2 linked regions of the Astyanax mexicanus genome follow. Each later gene encodes a partner of the first gene's protein in a complex. Links are inferred from orthologs where the notes say so. Each region holds a gene or a part of one and is shown on either strand. Other genes may lie near its edges.

Region 1 (9,770 bases):
AGTTCATGATGCTGAGATCTGCAGAAAGTCCTTTATAAAATCTGTATCTACCAGAAACATCCAGATTCTGGTACATTTCTGTGCTTCACATCCATCCAGAGTTCACATTACTCTCATGGATTTGGCTCCTCCTGTGAAATCTCTCTCTTAAATCCACAGAAAAGCACCAACAGTTCAAAAATTAGGTGACAGGTCCTCTCCATAGCTTGTCCAGAACATGGTGTCACTCAGACACACAACGCAGAGAAGCTTCATGAAGCAGAGTTCAAAAACTGCATCAATATTCAGTCCAAATATACTGTAGCTGTTTTTATTTCGCTGGATTTATGAGAAGTGGATCCCAGCAGAGTTGAAAGCATGAAGAAGTCTATAGAACAAAAAGAAACGTCATAAAGATGGAGAACATCAGATAGAGATCGAGATCACTTATCAAAATCACTGCATATATTAACTTACACCATGAAGTCGTCTATATCCATGGATCTCGCTCGCTTTTCATTAAACTCCGCCTCCCGAAGAACATCTTCAATCTTCTGAGCAATGCTGAAGTCCTGTGGAACTTCCTATTAATATAGAAATGTGAGAATTATAATTTGCATCACATTTTAATTAGACCTAATGACAAGATGTGCATGATAAAAGTTGTTAAAATGAGAAAACACACAATTGAGATTTTGTTTATACTTACTACGTTGTGAACAGAGCAATGAATTCTGTAGTTCTTCTCCAGAAGCTGCTCAACAGCAGTAGACCTTCAAACACATGATATAAAGCACAGTTATTATTATTATTTAAATATAGCTGAGCTATTTTTCTTCATTTCTCTTGTTAGTTCACTTGGTTTCACAGAAGTAAAATTGCAAGTGTAACAACTAAACACGTGAGCAAACAATGAACATAATGAGCACCCAACCAGAGTCTGTTTTAACTGGACCAAATATTGTTGGTGTAAAAATATAAAGTACTTACTTGAACGCTGCACTGAGTGTTTTGTTCTTTCTGACGAATGCAATCCTGACAAGGCCGTCCCACTCCTACAGAAAAAAAAAACCCAGATAAACATACTCAGTACTTGTGGTCATATCCACTCCAGCATATCCTCCATACTGCATACCTCATAATAAATTATATATATATATTCTATATATTATATAAATAGGGGTGGGCAATATAATATCGTATACAATATATCGTGACACAGAAGTGTCATGATACTAAAAATCCATATTGTGATAATAGGGCTGTTCTGTCTTAAAAGTAGTCTATTATTTACTGTGAAGCTTTAGGTGTATTTATTGTATAATTGTTTTAGTTTGCAGTTTATATGCATGCACTAAATATTCTGCAATATTATTTGCTGAATTATATTATTTTATGCTATATTATTTATTTTGCCACATTATGGTTATACAGTTATACTCTTATACTATATTCCTGAAATGAAGTATATCGTTATCGCAAAAATACCCTGAAATATCGTGATATTATTTTAGAACCATATCGCCCACACCTATTCTGAAATCTTTCTGAAAACTGATTCCTGTACCTGAAAGTTGATTGGTGGTGGCGGATTCTTTGGCTCTATCCTGACGACGCTGGATTCCACTTTAGGAGGCGGCCTGAAGTTGTTTTTCCCGACCTAAAAACAAACAAGAAATCAATCAACTGAAAACAGCAGCTCAACTTTACACTGTGCTGCTGCCCAAACTATCCTGTATTTAAGTCCTGTCTTGTCTGAAATAGTAAAGCTGACTGACCTTCATGATGTGGTCCACTCTGGCCAGTAGCTGTGTGTTGATGGAGAGTCTGCAGTAGAGTTTCTCTCCAGGCTTCGCCACCAAACGCATGGCAAACTCCCTCTGGAACATCAGCACTGCGCACCTTTAAAAATGTAGATTTTATTTATGTAGGATATTTACACTGTTCATATTCTATTTTCATTGACATCCAAATTTCAATGCTTTTGCATGCAATTTAATTGTTATTTGCATTTTAGAACACAAGTGAACTGAAATGCTTGTGATGAGGCTCAGGTAATTCTCTAGAGCAGAGTTACACAAGTATACAAAACTTAATATACTAAATAAAATAGAAAATTTACTAAAAACATACAGAAACAGGACCTATAAAAAAAAAAAAGAACTCTATCATATATCAGTACTGAAATTTTAATTCTGTTATTACAACAACAATTCCACTACCCTTTCCTACAACATATAATGTGAAATTCTGTTTTAATCAGTGTGCAGGTTGATTATAGGGAGCTTTTTTATTTTAATAAATGTTAAAATTCATACCTGAAGGAAGGTCTGTGAAGGAGGAGCTTGAAGACAAAAGGTGAAGAAATCTGCAAAATAATAAATATTACAATACTCATATGTAACTAAAATATAACTTCTAAAAAAAAAATAATACTGGAGGACTAACTAAAATGTAATGTAAAAAAATTGTATATTGTACCTGATATGGTAAATTTGCTACACAGACATCGAAGAACGGCAGTTCTGTCTTCAGAACGTCTCCGATTAAGATCTGAAGTTTGGACTGCAGGGGTCTGTAAATGATATTTTACACAGAACTGAGTTTCTACTGCAAAATAAAGATTTAACCAACATTAAAATAATAACACAGAATAATTGTAAAGAATAAAAACAGGTATTTACGTGCACTGCACTCTTTTCTGCAGTTCAGCCACGAGCCTGGTGTCCAACTCACACGCTACTACCTACATAAATAAATAAACACTGCGTTTATATCAATGTTATTACAACTTTACTATAGATTGTGAGGGGAAGAAATTAGGAAGAAAATATATATATAAAAAAAACATTTCTTCTTCACTATATCAAATGGAAAAAATATAATAGTGAATCTTTACACCAGACTTTATGTTTTTGTCATTTAACACCTCTGATAGTCATGCTGATCAAGTTTTATCATTTAATCAGTTATTCTCCAAAATAACTGATCAGTGTTACATGGGCTGATCAAATATAATCTACTTTATCCGAACTTATTATTATTTACTTTTTTTGCTTTCTCCAGAAGCTTCACCGTCATGTTACCAGTTCCAGGTCCCACTTCCAGAACCACATCTGTAGGTCTCAGAGCCGCCTGAGAAAAATAATAATAGTAATAATAATAATAATAATATACAATAAAACACCTTACATATGAGCATCCTATCATATATGCATTTAATATATTATAACATTATTAATACTAGATACAATTTATAAACACCAAATACTACTTTTTAAAAATGTATTTGTATTATCACTGAGAGATGATTTATTTGAAAGGTACATGCATCACATCAGCCCACAGTTCTGATACTGTTCCACATAAACATGCCCTAAACATCTATAAATTAAATAATCTGTTCTTCAGAAGATAATAAACAAACATGAATTCATTAATAAGATCAGAATTAACAAAGACCCACCTTCTCAATAATACCATTAACCACCAGAGGGTTTTTCAGGATATGCTGCCCAATACCAGTGTTAAACATAATCCCTGAAACATGAAGAGAAAATGACAGAATTTAATTACTGGTGACTTGTATTCAGTTCATTAACGCAGGTGCAGGAATTGAGATGAGGATTTCATTTTCCAGCAGGATTTGGCACACTGCCAAAAGTACCAATTGGTCTTATATAATATTCTAATTTTTTGATACACTGATTTTTGAGTTTTTATTGGCTGTAAGCTTCATAATCATGTACAATAAAAAACACGCTTAAATTAGATCACTCTGTGTTTAATACATCTATATAATATATATATGAGATTCACGTTTTTAACTACATTACTGAAATAAAGTAAGTTTAAGATACACTAGTAAGTTACTTATTAGAGTTCCATATAATACAAGTTAAATACAGGCGGACACAAGGCAGGGTTGTCTATCTATATTATAAATACGATTAAAACAACCACTTTTAGCAGCTCCTACCTTGACTTTTCACCTCCTGGTGTTGTCGAGATTTCTTCTCAGCTTTTACTTTCGGCATTTTGCTGATTTTTGATCATTTAAAGCAGGATTTCGATAAGAAACCTCTAAACACGTGTGTGTTTATAGCTATATGTGTGTGTGTTCACCAAAGAGTCTGTAGAGAGGAGAGTTCCCACTTAACAATGTCTTCTGGATTGGTCTGACCATCAGAGAACGAGATCAATTGAGCAAAATCACAAAAAAAGAAATGAGTTTATGGATCAAATCTGCTACGCTATTTCAGAAGCTTCAGTTTCTCTCTATTTATAATATTAATATTTGTCAAATATGTATATTTATTTATAAAATGTATTAAATTCATGGAAATATCCCAGATAAAGCTATTCATAAATGTATATATTTACTTTATTAGAAATGCAGAAATTCATCAATAATCAACTCGTCAATCTTTAGATCTCCATCTTCTTAAATTTCTCGTTTCTAGTGTCAATTTTCTGTAAGATATCAGGGGACAAATCTGTGAAAGGGTTTTAACCATTTGGCAGAGAAATGTTCGTCTGTGAAACATTATAAAAGACGTTTGAAAGATAATTTGATTAATATATTGTGACATTTTTGTATTCACTGCTTTTGTTTTTTTGTGTTATATAGTTGGAATGTGATATTATTTTGTTAAAATTACCTTAATTGTTAAAATATATTTTTAAAGGGTTTATGTAAGCCCATGTTATGTGTTTGCCTCTGTCTGTTCTGTATTTTATGCTATGTTCAGTTTGTGTCTTTTTAAAAAAAAAATTTAAAACTCAAATTCAAGTAGGACTCATATCACATATTAGCAGACATGCTAGCGTCTCTGTTGTACAAAAATCGTTCACTATATAAAATTAACAACATGCAGGTGTGTTTTCTTTGAGTTTTGTGCGAAATACTTTATTCTACTCTCCAATATTAAATTCATATTCTGGACATGTACTTAAATAGTATTTTTAATTTGAGGTTTTAGCCGTTTAGCTCTATTCAGTCCCATTCATTGAGGACCTTCTTGCGATCGCCCCCTAGTGGTTGGCAGTTATTTTCGCTAACAGTAAGTGGGCAGTCTCGTCACGCAGGGCTCTGTGCGCTGCGGCGGGTTAGCGGTTTGAGCGCAGCGCCTCCTGCCGGTCAGGAGGAGATAACCGCGCACAGGATGTGACGTTTTCTCCGTTTTCGCGGCAAACTGAAGCGGAGCTCAACACAGTGATGACAGAGCGCGCGCTGCTTTAACGCGGTTAACAGGTAAAATATAGAGTTTATTCTTTTAATCAGCGATTTAAAGATGTTTTTTATTGACTGGTTTATTGTAGCTGTAGTCTGAATGTGTTTATTCGGGGGTTTGTTTGTCTGTTTACAGTTGTAGCTGTAGCTAAAGTCAGCAAAGTGAATGTAGGTTAGGTTAGTTAGTTAGTTAGTTAACTAACTAACTAAGTAACTAGCCGACTAAATAGCTTACTAACTAGTTACCTAGCTAACTAACTAGGTAGCTGTCTAGCTTGCTAAATAACTAGCTTGTTAACTATGTTGCTTGCTAACTAATTAGTTAACTAACTAGCCAGCTTACTAACTAACAAATTACCTTGCTAACTAGCTAGCTACCTAATTAACTATGTAAGTAAGTACCTTACTTACGAACTGGTTAGCTAGCCAGATAACGAACTAACTAGCTAACTAGCTTTTTAACCACCTAGCTTGTAAACTGAGTTAACTAACTAACTAACTAGCTTAATAGCTAACTATCTAGCTAGCTTGCTAATTAACTATCTAAGCTTGTGTTTAGTTAGCTTACGTTAACACAAGCAGGTCTGTATAAGAAATTAGCCAGCTAGCTCTTATAATAAGAAGCACACTTAAACACCCCAGCAGAGATAATCCATCTTTTGAGATGTAATTATTAGGGCTGGGAGGTTAATTGTATTAATTTGATTACTCAAATTATTATTTTAAAATGGGATAATTGAGAGATAAAATATGTACAATCAATACGTGATCAATAATTGATTTAATGATTTTTCTTTATTGACTTGATCCACAGTATTAAGCTGTGGAGCTTCATCGACACACTCGTCACTAAATTCAAATGTTATATTTCAGTATAAAAAGGCATGTGTTAAAATAACTCACACATAGATTTTAATCCACAAACACTGGATACAGTTTTTTTCAGATTTGTGCACTGGGCTGGTAAGAAGAGCGATGGCGAACGTTACCAGTGAGAAGATAAAGGACGAGCTGGAGACGTTTGATATAACGTGTGAGGATGATGCCGTGCTGGACAAGAGTGAGTGTAGATTAGAAGTATCAGATTCAGTGTTTGTGTATTGTGTGTAAGTGTTCGTAATCATTTTATTTCTATTTTTCAGTGATGGAGCAGTGCTTATGCCACAGAATTAAAGGAGAGGATATTGTAAATGAGTGGGTGGCTTTCAGCACAACAAAAGGCCTGTTAAAACTCACCGTGAATAATCTAGAGACGTTCGAACATGAGGTGAGTAAATCCAGTAAAAAGTGACTAGTGTCACTTAATGTGCTTTAAAATCTGGTGCGTCTTATAGTTTGTAAAATACAATGTACCTTCTTGTTTTTGTTTGTTTTGCAGGTTTTGAATAAGAAACATAAAGGCAAAAGCTCATCAAAGGGGAGCAAGATTAACAACACCAGAGATGTGCATTCCATCCAGGACCTGTATCCTTTTATCTTTTAGAAATAGTTCCCTGTTGCTACCTACCCACCCAGAGAGAGCAAGGTCAGTTGTGCACTCTCTGATGTGTGCACAATTGGCATCTGATGGCAAGCTGCATAACCGGGATTCAAACCAGCAATCTCCTGGTCATAGTGGATCGCTGGACCACTCTGCCCCCCATGTGGTCCCTAGTTTGAAATTAAGTGTTAGTCTATAAAGTGAGTCAATTTCTTAACTCAGTGTGAACAGAATCAAAGCGGAGGAGGAGGAAGAAAATTTACTGGATTCGTATTCAACCCCCGCCAAGGTATTTCACTTTAAATTCATATTAAATCATTTTAAAAGGTGTCTTGTTTTATTTAGTGCTTTCAGCAGTAACACCTTAACATGGGCTTGAATATTAGTTATAAAAGTGTGAATAATTGTGATTGTATTACAATGACTTGTCAGTTAATCAGTTGTTCCTTTTTGTTTGATACTGACACAGATGTTAATCCTGGTCTTGGACTACACAGCATTTTGAATGGGGATTTTACATTAAAAGGAAATATAGCCTATGGTATAATTCTTGCCCAGGCCTTAGTTGTTTATCTTAAATTCAGATTCTAGGACATCTGTATATGTTTTAAATGTCCTTGTATTGTTTAATATGAGCATTGTTTGTGTATTTTTCTGTAAGGGCTCCCAGAAACGTGCTCTTACCACCCCAGAACATCCTCAGTCTAAGCGCAGTGCTGCTCGCCTCCCCAGTCCCGGTCTGCTGCTCTCTCCTGCCAGCTTCTCCCCCTGGTGAATACGCCGTGTTTATTCATAACTTTCACATTCTACACATTATAATTTACACGTAATGTTATTAGATCTCATAATTTTAACATTGTTTTCCTCTGAAAAGCAAACTAACTATTAAAATGGAAAGGAAGTCCATAAACTTACCTATTTCTATAACTGCTAGAGATGCATGTGCCTTTACAGATTAATCCTCGTAGTTGTTTTACGCTGGAGCTAGACTACATGACCTTTCCTGTGTATTGTTTTGTGTGCAGCGCGACCCCCTCTCAGAAGTACAGCATGCGTGGAGCTCGGGGGGAGGTGGTGGCCATGTTCGGGGCTGTGCAGGGTCCCCGCTGGTCAGGGAAAGGCCAGACCGCTGTGCAGGTGGATCTGCTCGAGGGACGCGAGGACTCACTCACCAGCTCCTATAAATACATGTTCCAGAGGCTCAGAGATGTGCGAGATGGTACGTTCTGAACAGTTCACTCTTCTCTTCTACTCGTAGTTATTGTAGGGGTGCCTACTGTGGTTATGTGACCCATACTTTTGTGGTGGACACCAGACAGTACAACAAATAAGTAACACAGCAAAAATCTCTGCCATATTGCTATCTTGGCAACGGAAACCTCCGGTGAGCCACGGACGATCATTGCTATCTTTGCTTGTGCAGAACGCACATACACCCCAGGTTGTTGTGCACATGTGGAGATGGACAGAATACAAAATTAAATAACATTATTAATTCTACCTTAACACAAAATATAGGTTACTGTCCTTACCTGCTCGCGCAACGTTACAGCGTGATCACTTATCTCTTAAAGGGGATGCAAGTGACGTGCTGATTGGCTTATTTCGCATTGTACTTTTCCTGTTGTTATGATAGCAAAGACATACCAACACTCCCTAAATCAAGCTGCAGGATTTGCAGTTAGCGGCTGACCTGCAGATTGCTAAAATAGGAACCAGGGTACAGTTGTGGTCAAAAGTTTACATACACTTGTAAAAAAACATAATGTTATGGCTGTCTTGAGTTTTCAATAAGTTCTACAACTCTTATTTTTCTGTGATAGAGTGATCGGAACACATACATGTTTGTCACAAAAAACAGTCATAAAATTTGGTTCTTTCATAAATTTATTATGGGTCTGCTGAAAATGTCACCAAATCTGCTGGGTCAAAAATATACATACAGCAACATTAGTATTTGGTTACATGTCCCTTGGCCATTTTCACGGCAACTAGGCGCTTTTGGTAGCCATCCACAAGCTCCTGGCAAGCTTCAGGTCGAATGTTTGACCACTCTTCTTGACAGAATTGGTGCAGTTCAGCTAAATGTGATGGTTTTCTTGCATGAACCCGTTTCTTTAGCACTGTCCACATGTTCTCAATGGGGTTTAAGTCAGGACTTTGGGAAGGCCATTCTAAAACCTTAATTCTAGCCTGGTTTAGCCATTCCTTTACCACTTTTGATGTGTGTTTTGGGTCATTGTCTTGTTGGAACACCCAACTGCGCCCAAGACCCAACCTTCGGGCTGATGGTTTTAAGTTTTCCTGCAGAATTTGGAGGTAATCCTCCTTCTTCATTATCCCATTTACTTTCTGCAAAAAAACAGTTCCACTGGCAGCAAAACATCCCCAGAACATAATACTACCACCACCATGCTTGACAATAGGCATGGTGTTCCTGGGATTAAAGGCCTCACCTTTTCTCCTCCAAACATATTGCTGGGTGTTGTGGCCAAACAGCTCAATTTTTGTTTCGTCTGACCAGAGAACTTTCCTCCAGAAGGTTTTATCTTTGTCCATGTGATCAGCAGCAAACTTCAGCCGAGTCTTAAGGTGCCTTTTCTGGAGCAAGGGCTTCTTTCTTGCACGGCAGCCTCTCAGTCCATGGCGATGTAAAACACGCTTGACTGTGGAGACTGACACCTGTGTTCCATCAGCTTCCAAATCCTTGCAGACCTGCTTCTTGGTGATTCTTGGTTGACTCTTGACCATCCTGACCAATCTCCTCTCGGCAGCATGTGATAGCTTGCGTTTTCTTCCTGATCGTGGCAGTGACACAACTGTTCCATGCACTTTATACTTGCGTATAATTGTCTGCACAGTTGCTCTTGGGACCTGTAGCTGCTTTGAAATGGCTCCAAGTGACTTCCCTGACTTGTTCAAGTCAATAATTCGCTTTTTCAGATCCACACTGAGTTCCTTTGACTTTCCCATTGTAGCTTTTGTAGCTGAGTCTAATCACTGGGTCAAATGAGCCCTATTTAAATGGGCTCATGAGAAGTCAACAGCTGTAGTCAATCAGAATCACTTACAAGAAGT
Region 2 (10,160 bases), on another chromosome or scaffold:
GGAAAAACACATAGCCTGTGTTTTTGACACAGACAGCTTAAAACCCCAATCATTAGCCCAGCACTCCACCCTCATTAATGCCTCCTGCATCTGTTTCAAAACAAAAGGGAGATTTCTACCCCTTTTCCACAGAGCCCCATCATCTGCATAAAGAGATTTTGCAATTCCTGCGCCCACAGATGAAAAAATGTCATTTATCATGACGTTGAACAACAGAGGGCTACAAACGCTACCCTGAGGAGTTCCATTTTCTATGCGATAGACTTTAGACAATGCATTTCCCACCCTTATCTGTATCGCCCTTTCACTCAAAAAATCTAATACCCAATTATACACCCTTCCCCCAATTCCTATCTTACCCAATTTTATCATTAAACCCTCTGTCCACAGCATGTCATAAGCTTTTTCAATGTCTAAAAACACAGCCACCACCACTTCTTTGTACAATTGTGCTTTTCGTACATCTGATTCTAAACATAATACAGGATCCATGGTCATCCTTCCTTGACGAAAGCCACTCTGATAATATGCTAAACTACGTCGGCTCTCAAGATGGAAAGTGAGTCTGTCAGTTACCATACGCTCCATCAACTTGCTCAAATGCGATGTAAGAGAGATGGGCCTATATCCTGTGGGACTAGAGAGGTCCTTGCCAGGTTTGCCAATAGGTACCACTACCGCCAATTTCCATGCCGAGGGAATTTTACCCAGCATCCACAGATTGTTATAAAATTCAAGAATTACAGAAAGGGAAGAGTCTGATAAATGTCTAAACATATCATAACATATGTCATCCTTTCCCGGAGATGTCTGACCAGATTTGTCAATAGCCACCTTTAATTCTCTTAAAGAAAACGCAGAGTCCAAAACACTGCCAAATACTTCTCTCCGACACAATGCCCCAGGATTCTGCAGCCGAATTCTCTTCCTGCACAGTAGCATAGTTTCACTTAAGTTAGCGGAGCTGTGCACTTTGGTAAACTCCTGGGCTAACATCTCTGCCTTTTCAGTGTCAGTAACTGCCTCCTTGCCCCCATCTTGCAACACAGGTATTAGAGTCCCTTTCCTTATTCCTTTCATTTTTTTAATCATGTGCCATACATCCCCCACATGTATGTCAGGCCCGATCATACTACAAAATGACCTCCAGTAGGCTCTCTTTGTTACTTTAACTGTTCTTCGAACTACTGCCTGCGCCCTTCTGTAATCCAGCAAATCACTAAACAGTAAAGTTTTCCGTACCTTTTGGAGTGCTCTATTGCGTATTTTCACTACCTTAGAGCATTCCTCCGTCCACCAAGGAACTGCCTTTTTCTTCTGATGAGGCTTTTTAATCGGAATAGCTTCTTCAGCAGTACTATATAAAATATCACACAATTTTTTATTACATTCATCAACATCTCCAGAAACTGTCAAATTCTGTAGCCTCAGATCACAAAGTTCAGAAAACTTCTCCCAATTTGCTTTATCAAAATTCCACCTTCTCAAAAATTCCCCCCTCATTCTGTTTACCTCCATACCAAAAACACAGACAACAGGAAAATGATCACTACCTATAGACGTAGACTGACATACACCCCAACTGCTCATCCCTGCTAAAGCAGCAGAAGAAAAAGTCAAGTCCAAAACTGACATTGTATTATTTACTATATTCAACCTTGTACCACTACCATCATTTAGACATACAAGACCATTGTCCATCATAAAATCCTCCAACACCTGGCCATTACTATCTGTGAATGAGCTGCCCCACAATGTGTTATGTGCATTAAAATCTCCACACCACACCACTTTACGATATCCCAAACCAGTAATTCTATTTAACATCTCCACAGTGATTTTCTCGCATGGATTATAAAAATTCACCAATGTGAACTTTCCACATTTGCTCCATATCTCCACCATAAGAGATTCGTGATTCCCACTAATAGGGAGAGATCGGAATACTATTCCTTCCTTTAAAAAGATCGCTACACCTCCTCCATTACTATGAGCCCTATCCCTCCGCACCATAGTATATCCACAAAGTGTAAAACTTAAGTGGGGTTTCAGCCACGTTTCCTGTATACAGATCACATCAGGCACCGGTTGACTATGAGCCACATAATGCTTAAACTCCTGTCCATTAGCAATAAGACTCCTAGCATTCCACTGTAAAATCACCAAACCATCACTAGTCATCACCTAGCTGGGAGGAAACTACTTTCCCAGCCAGGCCCTCACTGACTGACTCCCAAGTCAAACCCCTAATATCCAAATAACGTTCTGCAGATCGAACAATGATCTTAATTTTTTCAGTTCTACTACCTGTCTGGGCCGTACAATTAACTACTTCTGCTATAAACATAATGAACTTTGCCTTTTCAACAATCATCATGTCTGGTGTATTAACACTGCGGGCCTGCCGGTTCATAGCTGATCTATCACGGTCTGCTGTCCTTAGAACCTGACTCGGGGGACTCGACTCCATACTTCTTCCCTTTTCCACTTCTTTCAACGCTTCAGCATACGACAACCCCCTTACAGCTCTAACATTCTGGACTTCCATAGCCTTCTTCTTCTGTTCACAGCCCCCATACGCTGCCTTGTGATCTCCTCCGCAATTACAGCACTTAGGCTTAACACCCTCTCCACATTGCCCATATTCGTGTTCACCGCCACAAACCCCACATCTCTTTCGTGACCTACACACAGAGGCTATATGCCCATACCTCTGGCAATTATAGCATCTCACCGGTGGAGGGACATATATCCTCACCGGGAAGCTAATGTATCCCAGAAATACTCTCGCCGGTAAAGAATTTCCTTCGAACTGAATCATTACCGACAAGCTTTCTGACTGTGCTCCATCTCTGAACCCCTTTAATCTGACAGCTTCAATCACATTACCACCAGTCAGGGTTTTCTTAATCTGCTCCATTGTTAAATCAAGTGGAACTCCAGTTATTACTCCTCTCATCCTCGTCCTCTCCCTAAACAAACTTGTCGTAATCTTCCTACCTCCCAAGCTCTTAAGTTTCAAGGCTTTGTCTCGTTGCCGGTCATCCTTACAGGTAATCAGAATCTGCCCCCCCCTCAGAACCTTAGCTCCAGCCAGGTCACCTAAAGCTTTCTTTAACTCAGTAGTCAATCTAATTGGATTTAGCGGAGTCCCAGAGTCAGTATCAAATTTTATAAGCACCAAATACTCCTCCTTCCGACGCTTAACCTGCTCAGCACCATTCTCATTTCCAGCTGATTCTCTATCATCTGACAGACGCCTACCTTTTTTTTTCTGAACAGTTTGCCACGGTCCTCCACCACCCCAATTCCCGCTCCTACTCCCTAACCAGTCCGACTCACTCCCCTCTCCTGCGTCACTTCCGTCCATCTCTCCTCCCTCCAGCCCGCCCAGGAAGTCGTAACCGTCTCTGTCCCTCTCGCGCTCTTCTCAAGCTATATTTTAGCTCCGCCTTAACAAGCTAAACTCTAGCTTCTGATTGGCTACTCCAACTAAAGCTCTAGCTTCTGATTGGCAACTAAATTAATGATTTTTTTTAACCCGTCCTGACCGCTGCACATAAGCACTTATTTACTTCAGTTTTTATAAACGCATATAAAATATGGTTTATTATTAAAAACACTGCTCACTTATTTGGACACTCCACATATTGTTTTTGTGTTGTGAAATGCGCTAAACAATTAAAGCTGTGTAAATGAGCATGATGTATTTATTTCCAAGAACAAAGGACAGAAAAGCTGGTCTGCAAATAAAAATTTAATCCCATTATTAATTTAGTACTACACAATACATCTGTAACATGACAGTATGTTTTGTGAATATTTATAACAAGTTTTTATCTCAATTTAATAACACTCATGTTATCTCTGTTTCACTTTTGCGATTTTATTCACACCAGAAGTAAACAAACAGCGCATTCATCGCGAGATCCTGTGTTGTTCACGTGGGCTGCAGGTGGAGACTGTCCGACCTGACTTCTCCGCTCCTCCACCCCGCCCACCTGCACGCGGCTGCTCTCGCTGACCAGCAAGGCGAGGCGCAGCCGCATCTCGAACAAGCCTAAAATCACCTAGATCACTCTAAACGTGATCACACACACAGCTTATCCAGTCCATGTAGAAAAATGTGGCCAATAGAATTAGACTCTCTGGGTGTGTGTGTGTGTGCGCGTGCGTGCGTGTGTGTGTGTGTGTGTGTGTGTGTGTGAAGCAGTACTATAACAGGCTGTGTGTGTGTGCGTGTGCGTGTGCGTGTGCGTGTGTGTGTACTATAACAGTGCTGGTACAGGGTCGTCTGCCGTATTTGAGCCAGTACACACCTGTGTTCAGATAATCAACAGGTCAGGTGCGTCAGTCCTTCACCAGCACCAAAACGACTGCTCAGTGACACTGATGTAGAACAGTCAGAAAGTGACACTGGGCCAGCTGTGGGCCAGAAGTATTTTTCTGCTTGCGACTCTAAACCAGCAGTGCCGACTTAGAAACGAGTCCGGGCCAAAGTCGCTGGCTATCTGGGAATAAACCACGGTACAATACTCATTCCTGTTACTGGAACTCACTCCTGTTACTAGCACTCATTCCTGTCACTTTTAAAGTATCGGAAATGAGTTTTTAGCATAGAATTATCAAAAACATAAAGAAAGCTAAATGGCGGCCATTAAAACAATGAGCACATTCTACTGATTTTCCCAAAATCTGTATTTTAAATATAAACCATTAAAATCTAATAATTAATTTAGGTAACAGGGCAGTGTTGAGATTAGTCATAGTCCTAGTTACAATAAGATTAAATATACAAAAAAAAAACTAATGAGCGAGCTTAATTAGGTCTTGTTAATATACATATATTAAAACATGGGATGGAATGGGATTTGGAGCCTCTGAAGGATTTTAAGTTTATAGTTAGGGAGTGAGGACAGGTAAAAAATGCTATTTTCTCAGTGTTTCTCAGTTTTTATTAATGTTTTTAATTACATATATTATTTATGCATGTAATTACCTGCGGAATATGCTTTATACGCCAGATGTTTAAATGCCAAAATAAGCCTGAAATGATCTGGTTAAATGATTACTATATATATTTTGCAAATCACCATAAAATCTAATTAATATTAAAAGTATCTGCGTGTTTTCAGTTTATTTATATAAAAGGAAAAACCGCTGCTGTCCTCTAGTGGACAAATATCAAATTGACCAGTAAGAAGGCCAATATACTTTTTTTCTGGTGGGCTTTTCCTGGCCTGATGCTGATGGGGGGCATTTGTTGGCCTGATATTGACTTAAATCTGACCATGTTACATTAGCAAATAGATATAAAAATATAAAATATAAATCCAAAGAAAAGTTACAACGTATAAAATAAAGTGTAAAATAAAATTGGGACAGAAAGTAACACAGAGTTCTGGAACCAAGTTCTGCTTGGTTGGATCTTTCAGCCTTTTCAAGTTCACACGGTTGTTTCTGAAATCATAAAGTTTAGCTTCTGCAATGTCATAAAATTTATTTCAATCCAGAGTTGCATTAATTTTTCACCAAGATCTTGCAGCATTGATGATGGTAGAGTCTTCTCCAGCACATCCTAAAGATTCTGACTAGGTTTAAGGTCTGGACTCTGGTGGTGAACAATCAATGTGTGAAAATGATGATCTCATGCTCCCTAAAGCACTCTTTCACAATTTCAGCCCTGGCATTGTCATCTTGATGGAATAACCTGAGTTAACTTGAGGTAAAGAGTGAACCATTGTCAACACAGTTCTGGTTCCTCTCTCTCTGCTGCACTGCAGGGTTTGAACACATGGCGCCGCTGTTTCATTTCAGTGCAGCGGAGCGGGGCGGCTCGAGCGCTGCTCTGATTGGTGCGTTGTGGCTCTCGCGTCATTTTCGCGCCGTTAGTTCGGATCAGGCTGTTGGCGGGACTCGCGCGACAGGAAGAGACTCGGCGGCGGGCTGTTTGTTATTGTAAAGTAAAGGTAATGTTTTTAACCGTTTTAAAGACTTTAACGGCGCCGCGGGAGCAGTGTTTACTGTGAGGACTATTTTACACTTGGGGAGAAGCGCTAGTAGGCTGTTTAAAGCTGTGTTGTGTAACTGGCGCTTATTGTAGCTCGGATACGGTAACCAGCTAACCTAAGGTTAGCTAGCGGGTAACTCTAACCTAGATAACTAGCTTTAAACTAGCGTTTACTGGTATTATTGGCTGTATAGCTCGGCTAGCCAGCCAGCTAACTAACTAATTAAGTAACTACCAGCTTAGATAGTTAGCTTTGAATGAGTCGCCTGTTTGTGTAGGTTAGCTGATATAAAGAGCTACATTATGTGGTTAAAATATGGGTTAACAGTGACTTCAGGGTGACTTAAGATTTAAGGGCACATTACTACGTTTTTTAAGGCTGAAATTGTGATGTAACAACATATTAAGAGTTTGTTTAGTATAAATGACTTGTAGTTATGTAGTGCATGAGTATAAACTGCGAACAAGCTATTAAAAGTGTACAGTAAAGAGCAAAAATATGCAGAAGAAACAAAATGGACTTCTTTCAATAACATTGCGATATCACGATATGGATTTTTATTTTTATTGAACTGTTTTCTTCCCATATGACACATTCTGACACCATTTCTAGGACAAAATGTTAAAATGTAGGTTATGACATGGTTTAATCATGTTTTAAAGGGTACTGGAGCAACAATTAATTTAACTTGTTTTACATTTTGGGTTAGTATTCAGAGCTGGGTCTGAGGTCTTATGGGATATGCTAAATTTTTAAGAAAGCAGCCAAACATGTGAACTAACAGTTACTTTAAACACACACCTAATACTGTCCAGCTATCTGCCCACACCAGCCTTGATTTTGAAAGAAATTAATGAATAAGGTGTTCATAAAGTGTACAGATACTTTCTAATTGACAGTTACCTAGCAGAAGGCATCAGATGTTAAAACTAGTGAAAATAAAATGGGCTGTTTTTCTTTGCTCAGAAAGAGACCATGCAGTTCTCAGGCAGAAGGAGGAAGCTTGCAGTTCACTCTCAGAATGATCTCTACAGCCACTGTCTGCAGCTGTATGTGCAGCCTCCTCTGGAGAACATATCCCTCAGCGAGTTTGAGACCTTTGCAGTGGAGAGGCTGAAATGTAAGTCGAGACCACAGCTCCTGGTCATCGCTTCTCATTGTCCATGTCCTACATTTGTTTTGTCTAATTATTTTTTTTATTTTCCCATCTAAAGTGTTGAAGACTGTGGAGAACCTTGGTGTCAGCTATGTGAAAACAACGGAGCAGTACACCAAGAAACTTCACGCTGAAATCTCAAACCTTAATTTCCCACACAAAGCAGAAGTGGTAAGGAAATGTTCTATTTTTCACTTTTAGCATTTAGATTTAGCTGATACATAAAGGTTCCTCACACTGTGATTTAAAAGCTATTAAATCTGCTTACAATGGTTGTCTTTTAGACAAGGAAAAAATTGGCTTTGGATAGATTTACTTTTGAGAAATGTTACCTGATATTGTTTGTACTCTGGAGTAGCTTAATCTTTAGGTCTTGCTTTGCTGCAGTGGCAAAATGTTTATATTTGATTTGTTATTCATTTTACTGAACTTGTTACCCTGTTGTAATGGTAGTTGTTTAAAGTTCACTGTTTCTCTATATTAGGATGAGGCAAGTTTTACCAAAAGTCAGGTTGGACCATCTGAATATGAGAAGCGAAGGAAAGACCACATCTCTCATTTTATTCTGCGCCTGGCATATTGCCAAACGTAAGTGTTCCCCTTGTTCCCCCCTTTTTCTTTCTTTCCATAAAGGTACTTGTACTTGGGTCTTAATCTTAATGCTTCATTCAGTATTTCTGTTTCCATCCTATGTTTAACACTTTGGTCATTCTGAATTGCCACTTAAATCATTTGATAGCTGCCACTTCACATGAACTAAGGCAGAGATGTTGAACAACTTAAACACATAAGATATATGCAGAAATAGAAACTAAAATATATAGAAATAAAATATATAATAAATATATATCTTTAAATCACAGTAAAAATAATATAACTGAATTGTAGGGATGCGTAGTGCCCCAAATGTGCCCCCCCCCCCCCCAGGTTTTAAGTTATTTTGCCCTTTTGTGTGACCTTTTCAAAAAATTGTCACAAATTCTATTAATATTATATCTAGATTTTTGTCCTGTCCTTCATCCAATTAAGATAAACTAAGAGGGACAAGAGATTGTAGAGATTGCAATACTATTTGCAATCCCATTGCTATTGCAAAACCATTGCAATACTAAACATATTTTGAATCTAAATGTACGATGTAGTGCACTGTTTTTATAGTGGAGATGTGGACAAATGCATATAAAACCAACACAAATCCAGTTCCTTTATTTTATTTATTTATTTATTTTTTTTTTGAAAAACCGAAAGAAACTAAACTAACCTTTTTTTTAGGGAGGATCTCAGACGGTGGTTTATCCAGCAGGAAATGGACCTTTTTCGCCACCGTTTCAATGACCTCAGCTCCAAGTATAAGACTGAGTTTCTGCATAAAAATAATCTGAAATATGACACGGTAAGCATTTTATTTTGTGCTTGATTGAACAGTTCATCAGGTATTAGCTAATTTTAGGTTTGATTTTGAAAGCTGTGATAATCTTTATTATTTGTTCCTGTGACGAATCTAACCTGATAAACACACTTAATACACAGGCCCTCAGACCTGATTTTAAGAATATTGTGCTGTAAAGAAAAAGCATGTGTGTGTTTGAACAGCAGGTGGAGCTAAATGCTCACTGATGGATAAATGGCACCTGCTGTTTTCATGAGGAGGCTGACTTTATTATGTCTGTAGGGGGTTTTAAATGCCCATAAATATGGTGTATTAAAGCTAAAGCGCTTTAGGGGGGACCATGGAAATACTTTATTATTCTCTTAGTCTATATTTTATTGGCTAAATATCAGAGTTTTTGTAAACTTGGTGAACTAGCAATAATAATATTTCCTCAAAGCTTGGATATCGATATTCTACATGTTAACAATGTGGTCATCCTTTAATTCATGAGGTCCATGAGCAGTCGCTAATTTTACATGTATTTATGGTGCTTATTATGGCAACAACCAATAATCATTTGTTATTGCAATATGTTATAGCATGTGTTCTTCTCGGTCATTTTTTGTGCTTGTACTCTGATGTTTGCTTTCTGTTATGTTGATCTATGTTTGTAAGTTGCTTGCATTCTCTCCCTTTGACAGTTAAGTGCGGATGAAAAGATGAATCTGAAAGATCAGCTCATAAACTCCACTTTTGGTTTTAGTGGAATCACTATTGTGGAGCAGGATTTCTACAAGGTAAGACCAAAATTCAGATTCTTTCCATCTTACAGTAATCAAGCAGTTTAGTCTGTTTCTGAGATACAGAGTTACTGATTTGCTTTAAATGAAAAAAAAATGAAAATACTTGAAATATTTGAAAACATTTGGCTGAAAGATTTCACAGGTTTTCATTTTGACATTTTTCTTACTATTGAAAATATCCCAGTAGACATACCAACAGTACTTTTGTCTCTTAGTGCAGTTCTAATTATGAATTAATTTCAGCAGTGCTAGTCACACATTTATCACAACAGTGTAGTTTTAGTTATACATTTACCTTAGCATTACTAATCAAGTCCCATGTGAATGGAATTTACACAAAAATAAACAACCTTTGGTAGCTTAGCTAATGTTACTATTAAAAACAGTGTTTGTTTAAACTGATACCAAGCATACGTGATTTAATAGAATGTGTAAAAATAAACTTAAACTACTTGTTTGCACACTTTCACTGCCTCTCCCCTGTACCCTTTGCGTTCTATCCAACAGGGTTTTAATACACAACACTTCTGTTTATTATGTAGTATATGTATATGCAATTTAAGCAGAGCCACAATATTGACAAAGACTGCCAATCATTTTATATTGTACATTGATGCAGGTCCCTTTCCAAGATGCCTTGGATTTAATACGGACGAGGAAAGTCTTCCTGAGAGGTGGTTATGCCTACATTCCCCACCAGGATATTGTCACAATTGTTCTGAATGACTTCCGCACAAGACTTTCCAAAGCTCTCGCAGTAAGTTCCTTGTTTTACTGTTCAATATAATCTCTCTTCTGACTTTCTATTCTTTTTGTTT

The links.
Region 2: pola2 (region 1) and prim2 share a complex: the UniProt entries of both Homo sapiens proteins name them as parts of the alpha DNA polymerase complex. The link is inferred for Astyanax mexicanus from reciprocal best matches to the Homo sapiens genes POLA2 and PRIM2.

The regions. Positions count from the first base shown.
Region 1 is NC_064419.1:937,815-947,584, reverse strand, and holds the start of pola2 (DNA polymerase alpha subunit B), read left to right. Parts: upstream 1-5,124; 5' UTR 5,125-5,233; intron 5,234-6,148; 5' UTR 6,149-6,187; coding exon 6,188-6,272; intron 6,273-6,354; coding exon 6,355-6,479; intron 6,480-6,590; coding exon 6,591-6,676; intron 6,677-6,923; coding exon 6,924-6,981; intron 6,982-7,353; coding exon 7,354-7,463; intron 7,464-7,717; coding exon 7,718-7,911; intron 7,912-9,770. Other genes in the region: dimt1l (probable dimethyladenosine transferase), read right to left, coding at 325-367, 457-563, 689-752, 970-1,034, 1,547-1,639, 1,758-1,881, 2,298-2,347, 2,461-2,554 and 4 more. UniProt on the Homo sapiens protein: Accessory subunit of the DNA polymerase alpha complex (also known as the alpha DNA polymerase-primase complex) which plays an essential role in the initiation of DNA synthesis.
Region 2 is NC_064414.1:43,402,791-43,412,950, reverse strand, and holds the start of prim2 (DNA primase large subunit), read left to right. Parts: upstream 1-5,885; 5' UTR 5,886-5,969; intron 5,970-6,005; exon of another isoform or gene 6,006-6,025; intron 6,026-6,977; 5' UTR 6,978-6,986; coding exon 6,987-7,131; intron 7,132-7,225; coding exon 7,226-7,338; intron 7,339-7,651; coding exon 7,652-7,755; intron 7,756-8,439; coding exon 8,440-8,560; intron 8,561-9,240; coding exon 9,241-9,336; intron 9,337-9,961; coding exon 9,962-10,099; intron 10,100-10,160. UniProt on the Homo sapiens protein: Regulatory subunit of the DNA primase complex and component of the DNA polymerase alpha complex (also known as the alpha DNA polymerase-primase complex) which play an essential role in the initiation of DNA synthesis.